Linked DNA regions of Elephas maximus indicus. The protein of the gene in region 2 interacts with the protein of the main gene of each other region in a biochemical or structural test. Links are inferred from orthologs where the notes say so. Each region holds a gene or a part of one and is shown on either strand. Other genes may lie near its edges.

The links.
Region 1: the proteins of SNTA1 (region 2) and SLC16A7 interact in a test that uses a peptide from one of them, tested with the Homo sapiens proteins (3 studies listed by BioGRID and IntAct, with this or other methods). The link is inferred for Elephas maximus indicus from reciprocal best matches to the Homo sapiens genes SNTA1 and SLC16A7.
Region 3: the proteins of SNTA1 (region 2) and DMD form a complex in vitro, tested with the Homo sapiens proteins (2 studies listed by BioGRID, with this or other methods). The link is inferred for Elephas maximus indicus from reciprocal best matches to the Homo sapiens genes SNTA1 and DMD.

The regions. Positions count from the first base shown.
Region 1 is NC_064822.1:119,688,488-119,692,237, reverse strand, and holds the start of SLC16A7 (monocarboxylate transporter 2), read right to left. Parts: upstream 2,357-3,750; 5' UTR 2,214-2,356; intron 1-2,213. UniProt on the Homo sapiens protein: Proton-coupled monocarboxylate symporter. Catalyzes the rapid transport across the plasma membrane of monocarboxylates such as L-lactate, pyruvate and ketone bodies, acetoacetate, beta-hydroxybutyrate and acetate.
Region 2 is NC_064843.1:36,116,649-36,120,398, reverse strand, and holds the start of SNTA1 (alpha-1-syntrophin), read right to left. Parts: upstream 2,425-3,750; 5' UTR 2,313-2,424; coding exon 2,003-2,312; intron 1-2,002. UniProt on the Homo sapiens protein: Adapter protein that binds to and probably organizes the subcellular localization of a variety of membrane proteins. May link various receptors to the actin cytoskeleton and the extracellular matrix via the dystrophin glycoprotein complex.
Region 3 is NC_064846.1:143,369,652-143,373,401, reverse strand, and holds the start of DMD (dystrophin), read right to left. Parts: upstream 2,170-3,750; 5' UTR 1,944-2,169; coding exon of another isoform or gene 1,913-1,943; intron 1-1,912. UniProt on the Homo sapiens protein: Anchors the extracellular matrix to the cytoskeleton via F-actin. Ligand for dystroglycan.

The DNA.
Region 1 (3,750 bases), on a different chromosome or scaffold from region 2:
AGCTCAGAGATAGCTAGTCTGTACTCCAGGTGTTTTCCACACACATTATTTTATCCCTCACAGTACCACTTCAGGGTAAGTACCATCAATCCCATTTATGAATATGAAAACTGAAGCTGACATTGTGAGAATTACTCAATCATACAAATGTGCAGAACCAAGTCTGAAGTCTAGATCTGACAACTCTAAAGGTAATCATCTTTTTCCACTCCTCAAAAAATGTTTGGTGTATGAATGCAGAATTAAAAGCAAATTTAGGAGACTTCTTCCCCTTTCAGATCCTTGATCCAGGAATATATTCTGGACACAGGACATTTCCTTAGATCACTATACCCTCCTTCCCTTCAGGAGAGCTGGAGGCCAAAAATATAAGGCAGATATTATTTTTTTAAAAAAAGGAAGTAAATGCATGTCTAGAAATAAACTGAGCATTTACAGAGAGATGCACCAATTTCAACACAGAAAAGGGTGTTAAAATTTCAGATCACTTCAATTTCCTCTTGTGGAAAAAAAACAGTACAGAACTGCAAACTCTGGCTGTGAATATTTGCAAAGAAATGTTTCCAACTTGATGAGTTGTTACACAATACACTGAGTTGCTTAAGGTAAAAAATATCTTCCCTTTCACTGACATTACTCAGATGCCCCCTCACTTAGATTGGTTTTAATGTAATGTGCTCACAAGCAGAAAGCTGAGCTAGGATTATTTCAGCAAGGGTCACCTTGTTCAACCCTCATCTGCCCTCTGGAACTGCCACCCAGTTCTGATTTCTCAGCCACACTTCCCAAATGCACACTTAGTACTTGTGGTTTCAATGACACAGCACATTGAATCTAACGCAGCAGCTAAGTTTGCGACCTTCTGAGCTCACTTTGGGATTAACCATAAAGCGTCGAGTGCCAGGAAAGGGGAACTAATGCTCACGATTTTCTCCGGCTCAATCTTTTTCTCATTGCCTCATCATTTACCCGCTGAGTCTCCTACGGGGCCCAGGAAGGGGAAAAAAAAAAAAAAAAATACGGGGCCCAGGAAGGGGAGATGACTTGAAATATTAGTTTTCCCAGTGCCACCAACGCGCCCTCAAGTAACAAGCCCAGTTCTACTTCTCCAGGAAGGGTAGTCAATAAAACACTTGCAGAGAAACCGCTCCTCGTTCCCTCTCCTGTGCTGGGTGTGTGTATGTTTACTGTTAATTTCCCTGGAGTAGAACTACAAAATTTCCTTCCCAGCCCTACCAGGAAAGTGGCCTTGGCTTCCACCGCCCTTGCCAAGGCAGTCCGCAATCCTTTTCGCGGAAATAGCAAAGAGAAGGAATCGGAGCGCGCAGTTACGCCGCAGCATCTGCTGAGAGGCAGTTCACACGTGAGCGCCCTCGCCAGCCTATCGCGCCACCTGGCCGGGCCTGATGCCCCCTGCGCTGCGCTGCGCTGCGCCGGGGAAGACCGGCACGGGCCCTGCAGACGTAGGCCCTCTTTAGCTGCTTCTATGGCAGCGTGCCCCGTCTGTCCCGGCGCCCTCCTGGCCCCCACACACCTTTCCATCCGCCTCCGCCTCCGCCCCCTCCTTGCCTTCCGGGATCCGAAAAGGAAGAAAGATGCCTCCCTGATAGCTTCTCTCCTCCCAGCCTATCCGAGCCGCCCCAACAGCTGAGGTCAGCTGAAGAGAAGACAACCCTTACACCTCTAACCACCCACGTCCCAAGCTTCTGCTGCCAGGACGCTATCCCGGGTTGCACGTGGGCCGGGGCGGGATGCTGGTGAAGCGCGCGCTGGGGGCACGCAGAACGGGAAACAGCCTCCAGTCTCACGGGCCAAGGATGGGGGGGCGCACCGCGCCGGCAGTCTCCGGCCACGCACAGAGAGGGGGACATCTCCTGGTCAGAAACACGCAGGCGCGCGGGACTCCTCTCCGCCCGGGACCCCCCAAGGGCACACCGCCGAGACCAGGGAGCGCCCGCGCCCGGCTACGCCCCCGCAGCTCCCACGTCGCTGTCGGCGCTGCTGTCGCTAGCTCTCCTCCGGCGGCAGCTTCGGGCTTTTTGTCTATATAAGGGCTCGCTGGCAAACTTGGCGTTGGCGCGTTTGTCGCAGGCTGGCCATTATTTTTACACACGCGCGAGGCTTCCCGGGCGGCTCCGGTCGCAGTCCCACGCTCGCCTTCCTCTGCGCGGGCGCCTCCTGCCTCCTCCTCCCTTCCTTCCCGGTGTACTTACTTTACTCGGTCTCTGGCATAGGATGGGCGCTGCAGCTCTCGGGTCCCCCAGCCCAGCCGCAGCCGGTTCGCCTCGCTGTCACCGGGTGAATGGAATTATTTATTTATTTATGTCCCTTGACGTCTCCTCGCCGGCCGTAGCTGGAGGAGGAGGAGGAGGAAGAGGAGGGGGCGGGGAGGGGAGGCGCGGCTGACGAACGCCCTTGTGGGTGCCGTGGAGCGCGCGCCAGGGGGAATGGATGGGGGTTGGGGGAGAACGCTACTGGCTTTGCAGGAGCCCCACCAACCGTCGGGGGAGGAAGCCGCCCCTCAGTGACTCAGGGTGGACTGAGCATGCTCCAAGTGGCTGTCACCGCTACAGACACTTTATGGCTCGGGGCGCTCCACTTCGGATTTTAGTTGTGACCAAGAGAGAAAGCCAGAGACAGGTAGAGAGATCTCCTGTTCCTCATAGCTCGTGACACGCTTTATCTCGAGCCTAACGTCGGAGCCAGCGGTGAGGTAGCTCCGTTTTAGATACCCTAGGGAGACGTGCCACCTGTAGGAGACGAAAGCTTGCAATTGCAGAAAAGCCTGGAAGTGTGTTTGGCGGCGAAAAGATCCTCATTGTGAGCTTGGAGGGAAAGTGTTGGGACGTATTTTAATTGAGGGTTTTTGTTTTGTTTTTTAAGTAAGGAGAAGTAGGGGATTAGGCTCACCAACCAATTCATTCAAGAGAAAAAGAAAATGTACCGCAAGATCAGAAGAGTATAGGAAACCATAAAAGCTTAAAAATAGCAAAGAAGTGGAGGGAGGCCATTTGTAAATAATTAATTTTTAGGATCCCAAATATTTAATTCCTCAAAATAGAGCTAGCTATTTGACAATCAATAGTGCTAGGGATAATAGTAATTCCGCAGTCATTGGTTTGGTTTCTTTCCCCTTTATACATATATGTGTGTGTGTGTATGTGTGTGTATATATATAAATTTTTTTTTCTCCCGTGCCTGTATGTTTCCTGGGGAAGTTGGAAAAGAGGAAGGGCTGGAAACGAACATTTGGGTAACTCTAAAAGGTTGGACCCTTATGACTGTTTTTAAGGCTGAATTGTTATTTGTAGAAAAAGGAACTCTTCTTAAGAATAAATGTGGGCTTGGATTCCAGAACTATTGCAGTTTTTCTGCCAATTTTCCTTCCCCCACCCATTCATCCTCCTAAAAAATGAAAAAGGTAAAATGGTATGTTAATCCTAGATACTAATATAACTCACTCGAAGTTTGTAGGGTTTTTTCTAAAACTTAAATCTTTTATGTGAAGCCAAGGCAATTGAGCGAAAATAACCTGAACTTTGAAACCTAAGGGACTCAGAATCAAAATGGTAGCAATAATTATTACACTGATTTATTAAGTGCTTATCATTATCAGGGCTCCTGAGTGGAGGAAATGGTTAAGCACTTGGCAGTTTGAGTCCACCCAGAGATGCCTCATAAGAAGGACCTGGCTATCTACTTCAGAAAAATCAGCCTCTGAAAACTTGTGCAACACAATTCTACTACTGA
Region 2 (3,750 bases):
GAGGTCTAGGAGAGGAAGGGCTTTCTATCTTTGCTGCCATCTCTGACCTGGGAACCCTGGTGGTATAGTGGTTAAGAACTATAGCTGCTAACTAAAAGGTTGGTAGTTCAAATCTACTAGGTGTTTCTTGGAAACTCTATTGGGTGGTTCTACCCTGTCCTATAGGGTCACTGTGAGTTGGACTTGAACAAAACTGGTGTTTTTTTTTTTTTTGGCGGGGGGCGCCTCTCTGACCTGAAACTAGGGATTTTAATCCAGTTTGAAGCCATGATCATTCCTGGCTGCCTGCAGCTGCACTGGACCCTAGAAGGGCAGTCACCATGGCAACCACAGGAATTAGATGGAACTAGTACTTACCCTGAGCCTCCTAAAAGTACCCTCCTACCCACCCGGAAGCATGGAACTAGGGAGTAACTGTATGTGACCTTAGAAAGCCTCTGTTCTTCTCTGGGTCTTGGTTTGTCCATCTGAGAAATGGAACTCTATATAAACTCTAAGTTCCTTCCTTCTCTGACACACTGAGTGTACAATTTTTGGATTGGCCCACTTGCCCTATGCCATGCTGGGATTTGGGGGCAAAGCTAGTGCCTGCTCCCTGGCTTCCCCACTCCCTTCTTTTAGACACCCACTGTTGGGTGCCTGGGGACTTACCCTTCCACAGGAAAGAAACAATGCTAATGGGCACTCCCTACGTGGAGCAGGAGGCAGGGGGATGGTAGCCTCATAACTGAGGTTTAAATCTCAGCTATTCACTGTGTGACCCTGGGAAAATCGCTTCACCTTCTGAGTCTCAGTTTCCTCACCTGCAAAATGGGGGTTATACTCCCTTCCCTTCATCACTGTTGTCAGGATGTAGTAGATCCTGAGCCTACAGTACCTGGCACTCAATGGTGGCATTCACCTCCATCCTCATACCCACACCCAGGCCAAAGGGTCTGAAGGCACCAATGAACAGAGAGGACAGTACACATTCAGGTGATACGGGGGCTGGAACCCTAAGAAACAGACAGGCAGGAATGGTGAGCACAGCAGCTGAAGGTATGCAGGGATTATTTTAAGCAGTATGGTTAGTTGTTTCTGGAGTCTCTTCTGGCCTCCATTTTTCCTCTCATCTAACAGCAGTAACTAACCAAGCACCTACTATGTGCTGCCATGGTGAACACTTTAGACATCTGGTGTCAAAGAAACATCACAACCCTATCATTATCCTCATTATACAGTTGAGAAAACTGAGGTCCAGAGATGGGAAGTGACTTGTCTAAGTTCACACAGCAGATCCTGGACTCAAATGGAATCTGGTTGAGCCCCAAAGAAGGCTGTCAGTATTGGGGGCTGGGAGCTCACAGAGGAGCAGCAACTCTGGGTCTGCCCCTGTCAATCCTGTGCAAGGTGGGGAGGGTCGGATCAGGATTCAAGCCCAGAGGTCAGGGCCCCCTGGCTAGGTGCACAGCCTTCCTCAGATTTCTAGGTCCATTGTGGTGCCCTGTTTGTGACTGAAGCCTGTGTTTCCACCGTCTGCTCTCTGCCCCCGTCCTTCCCAGACCCCATGCCCTGCCCCCACTTGGTGATGTCTCAGGGACTCCCCCTCACCACCCCAGTAGTGTCCGAGGCCTCGCCTTTCTCCACCCTCTGCTCTCCAGCTGCCCCTCTTGTCCTTGGTGCCCATGCTAGTTGCCCTCCTCAGGTCCCTATGTCTCCACACAGAACTCCCCACCCACATGTCCTTGGTGCGCTCCTAGCCCTCTCTGACACCTGAGACCTCCGGTCCTTGACGACCCCCCCTGCACTGTCAGGGGCTCCCCTGCATTGTCAGGGGCTCTAAGTGTCCGACCTTGGTGCTCCGCATGCCCCGGGTTCCCTCAGCTCCCTCAGATTCCCCATTCCCTCAGACTGAAGGCCTCCAAATCCATGTCCTCAGTGAGCCGCCAGCTTCCACGACCCCTGCGCCTCCGGCGGCCCCACAGACACCACGACCCTGTGCCCTCTGTGCCACCGCGCCCACCTTTGATGCTGATACCCAGCCCACCGGCGTCGGCCTTGCGCACTGTCACGCGGCGCCGCTGGAGCAGGAGCCCCTCGGGCAGTTGCGGGGGCGCCGCGCCCGGCTCAGCGGCGCCGTTGAGCTGCGCGGGCTCCGGCTCCCGCGGGGCGCCGGGATCGGGGCCGGGCTCGCCGTCGGCGGGGCTCACGGTCAGAGCGTCCTCCGCCAGGCTGAGCAGCACCGGCTGCCACCGCTCGCCGCCGGCCCCCGAGCCTGCCCCGGCGCGCAGCTCCAGCAGCCCGGTGCGCGGCGCGCGCCTGCCTGCCGCCATTTTCGCCTCCGGGGCCCCCGGCCGCCGCGCTCGCCCGGCCCCGCCGTGCCGGCCCGCTCCGACCGAGCGCCCAGGGCACAGGGCAGCGGGGCCCGGCTGGGCCAGCCGCCACGCTAGCCCGGCCGCCGCGGGTAGCGCCTCAGGGGCGGGGCGATCTGCGGGCGTGGCCGCAGCTGGGGCGGGGCGACCTGTGGGGCGTGGCCCGCAGCTGGGGGGGTGGTCTGTGGGCGTGACTCGAAGTTGGGGCGGGGAGGTCTGTGGGCGGGGCCTGCGGCTAGGGGCGGGGCCCCATGCGGCCCGCGGGAGGCCGGGGCGGGGCGAAGCAGTGTGGGACCCACTGGGCAGCCGGCCCGCGAGGGAGGCGAGGAGCCGGCGAGGTGCGGGTGTCCCGGCGGGCCATGCAGGGGGCGGGGTTCATGGCGGGGACGGGGCCCTTGGTTCCAGTGGAGGAGACTCCGCGCTGCTCAAGGCCGTCGAAGGCCCGGATCGTCGCTCACAAAGGTGGGCGCACAAGAACGCGGGCAACAGCACGGGTCCTCGGGCGAGGCTGTGGGCGTCGGGGCAGGGCTGCGTAGGGCGGAGCGCCGGACTCCAGTTCAGGGCTTGATTTTAAGAGGTGAACGCCGATCCAAGAGGGTCTTTGCAGTTGGGGCTGCTGCTGGGGTAGCTTGGACAGGGCTGGTTTCCCGTTTGGGTTGGGGGTGGGTGGGAGTTGTATGTGGGCGTGGCTTAGTGTGGCGTGTGACTTCTAGAGCCCCGCCCATGGGATAAGCGCGAAACAGCCGTATTTAGGGCTTGGCGAGAGGGTGAACACGCTTCACGCTTTGAAACTGGAGGCGAGTTTCAGAGGTTAACCCTCTTGACTGAGTACGTCGAGCCCCAGTGAAGCCTGAAGTCTTGCACTTTGAAGTCTGGCGGGAGGAGAACCCAGGACTTTTGGCTGGACTATGGGTGTGGGCTCTTGGTTTTCTGTTCCAGCTCAGATACTCTGTTGGCTCCATGTCAACCTTAGTCGAGTCACTTCACTTCTCTGAACCTTAGTTTCCTCATCTGTGAAATGGCCAGACTCAAGCCTTGTGTAAGGATCAAATTGATGTGAAAACACATTGTGGGCTGTGAATTACTGTGCTATCAATATAACCACTTTCGTTTATCGAATGCTGTCTATTGGCCAGGCCTAGCACTGAGAATTTTTCATGTGTTATCTTTACAGTAGCCTCATGGAGTAGCTACTGTTAGGAATACCCCCTATTATACCAAAGCTGTTGCGCTCAAGTCCATTCCGACTCATAATGACCCTATAGGACAGAGTAGAAGTGCCCCATAGAGCTTCCGAGGAGCACCTGGTGGATTTGAACTGCTGACCTTGTGGTTAGCAGCCATAGCTCTTAACCACTGTGCCACCAGTGTTTCCACCCCATATTATACAGAAGGGAAA
Region 3 (3,750 bases), on a different chromosome or scaffold from region 2:
AGCATTTTAAAAAAATGAATGAAATGTACACATGCAAAGAATTACACATATAATCCTTGTCAATGAATTATTGAGCAATCCTCAAAAGTAAACAGTATTTCTGTTAATATAGTGATCTCCTCTGTTAAAGTGTAACTATTTTGGTTTAAAAATAACCAAATGAAATGTAATTGTATCCTTCTGAATTTTCAAACCAAGGCATTTTTTTTGTTGTTGTTGTTCAAACTGGACTCACATGCAAATACATCAAAATAGTAGTATGTTGTCAACTGGTAAAATTTAATGTGAAATATAGCCCTGTGAATGTGTCCATTTTCTCTTAACAAACCCACTATCATGTAGCATAAGCATTACCTGCTGATTTTAAAATTCACTATAATAAAGTCGTACAGGGTATGTTCCCAAAAGGTTAGCTTTCTTAAATTCGAATTAAGACATTAAAAAGATATTTAAATATCTATGACAAAACAGAGAGTAGGTTGGCCTTGCTTCATTCCAGAATTGTCTCTTTGCTTTTCTTTTAGAATTGGCTTACACACAGGTATATGAAAGTATGTGTATGCATGGCTACATATATAGACACAAAAAGCACACACAAAGAACGAATATATGTTATATGTTTTTGTCATTGTAGTAAGTGAATGATTTTCAGTCAGAAAGCAACACTGATGCTCATCAAATTAATTTCTAAAATAAGGTAAAAATATCAGTAAATGCTCCACTACGAGACCTGGGAGCAGCTAATACAAACCAGTAAACAATAGTAATTTATTCCTAGAAATCTTTCCCAAGGGTAAAACTTCTGTTCTATTTCACCAGAAGCTGTGAAGAGTTACTTACTTAGAGAGATTTACTTTTTCATTCTTAATTATGGGTGTTGCTCTTGTACCTATTTTAGAGTGACTGGAATCCACAAGTCAGAGATAGAAAAAAAGAAAAAAAAAAAGATGTGTCCTTCATCCACCTCTTTGGGACACACTGTTCTCACCATATATTATTTTTATATCCTATTTTCACCGTAGTTAATTTCTAAATTTGGCAGAAGTCATCGTGACTTCCTTAAAAATAAACATAAATGTTGTATTTTAAATAAAAGCCTGACTATAGAGCTAGGCCGTCATAAACATGAAACAATGAACTGACTTTGGTAACTTTACTGCAAAATATGATTGGAAGTCCTTCACCTTTATGTTGTTTTCCCAAGAAACAGAGTACATGGTCATTTGGCAATACAGATCATATCAGCATTTGAAAGAATTCTCATGAAATGCTACAGAAAAGAACGTTCATAATACTAAATGTAATATGAGAAGGGAGCTTCTATTTAAATCTTTATCAATACTTTTCCCAACCTCCATTTCTCTATTACAATTCATTGTATTCTTTATTTTTTTTCTCCTCTGATCTGCCAGATACAATTTTCTAACCTCGAGGTCCCCACCTCATTCCCATACAACAATTAGTTCATGAAGAAGATATGTCAGGTCACTACCCAACATGTAATATATAATATTACATGTAAGCATTACTAAATACAGAAGTATCAAAATCATCAGGATAATAACTCAGAGACACAAACTATTTCACAGCAATCAAAGCGGTCTGTTACAAGCACTCAAAGCAGTGATGCTTATTCTATTATTTTAGGAGCTTCTTAAAATAAGAAAGATGTGTTAGGTGCAATTTGCAAAGAAAACATTTTGAATTCTACCTCCTTTCTGTTGAAAAGTTTTCTCAATGAGAGGTATGTACACCTTCACATATATGGCTATGTACAGTATATATAAGACAACATTTATGCTTATTCACAGACTACTATACTAATTTAAAATCAATTTGCCTCATCAGTGAGCTTGTCACAAACTAAATGTTAAGCCATGGCAAAAGATATTTTTAGTTACTTTGTACTTACAACAGTCCTCTACTTCTTCCCACCAAAGCATTTGGAAAATAAGTATATATCAGGGCAGCGATAAATATCTTGGTAAAAATTTCTTCCAACTTTATTGCTCGAGTAGGCTTAGGAATGATGAGAAACCAATAAACTTCTGGAGCCTTAAAAAAATACTTCAGTTTTCCTATCCGTTTCTCTCTGAAGGTAATTGCCTCCAAGATCTGAGCCCTGTAGGGGAAAAGTGAGTGATCCCAACACTGAGTGAGTCAACATAGTGACTGGTGCCAGAATTCTGTAGAGGCCTCTGGATACTTCAAATTCCAGGACCTGCGCAGAAGCAAGTGACCCGCCTTTCCCTCAAGTTGGTTTCCCATAATAGGACTGCCCATGGACACTACATATAAGGTTGTTCTTCCAGCATGGCAAGTCCTGTGAATTCAAATAACGTTCAACTGTATTCTGGTTAATATCCAAACCAGAACAGCATAGTGGACAGAGAACTTGTTCTCCAAGACTTCTCAACACAAAAACTGCACATTACAAAAATGTAACAGTATTTTCTGTGACTTTTTTTTATGCAGTTTTATAAAATAACAGAGCAGAATAGCCTGATCTAGAACTGATTTTTAATGTCTCCCCCCCCCTCCCGCCCCCATTTCTGAACAACACTAAAAATTTCACTCTACTGACACAAAAAGAAATGCCTGGAATAATCTATGCATTTGTTATACATCCAGTGTCTACAAAAGGTAATTTCTACCGTTGGGAACTAATCAAAAGCCATGTATTGATGATCCCAACAATCTGAATAAGAAAAGCAACAGACGAATGTGGCAGCTGATCTCTGAACGCAGAATGTATGTAGGTCTCCCAGGACTAGTTTTCTGCTAAAATAAAGAGCACTCTTACAATGGAACGAAGAAATCCCAGTTGCAGGTTATGATACAACTTCTTTACAAACAAATTACTCTTTCTTCAGTTTCTTTGGTGACAATTATTAAAACACCATTCTCTTAGACATTAAGTTAAAGATCAATTATTTAGTGGCTCACAACAGAGGTTTCCTTTTGTGTTAAACGAGCACAGTTTTAACCTGTCATTCAGGATGCTTGTAAATCGTTCGTTGCCAATACAAAGCTGCTTCTTTTTCTTTATTATTATTGTTTAATGAGACAGGTACATGCAATATTTATAGAAAACATTAGTGACTTTTTTTGAAAGATATTATTTTTGATTATACTAATCCCTGCCAAAATTATTTGAGTGTTGTTTTTTGTTGTTGTTGTTATTGTTAGCTGCCGTTGATCCGGTGTTTCTCTAGTACCATTATTAAAGCGATGCACTCATTTTTCTATGACAAACATTCAATTGCTTGGCACAGAAATAAATTATAGAAAAAATTGATATATTAAGATATTTACCAAATATTATAAATATTATCAAATATTTACCAAATAATATCAAATATTATTATGATGATAAGAATATCATCATAATAATATTTCCATTTTCCCCAACAAAACTTTTATATAGGTTGTCCCTGGATTACGAACATCTGACTTACGTACAACATGTAGTTACAAACCAAGCCCTGTAAAGCCTATGATGTACCTACAATGCTTTATAATAACAAATGGTACTACTTTGTGACACACATCAAAACATTATTATTACTATATTATTACGTTAAAGATATTTTAGTGTATCTGGAAGTATTTCTTTAATGTTTTTTATGCATAGAAAGATACATTATATACTGACAAACATCTGCTAGCTGAAATTAGATAGCAACTGTACCTAACTGTTCTGTCTTAAGGTATAAATTTGACTTAAAGACAGGCTTAGGAACGAAACTC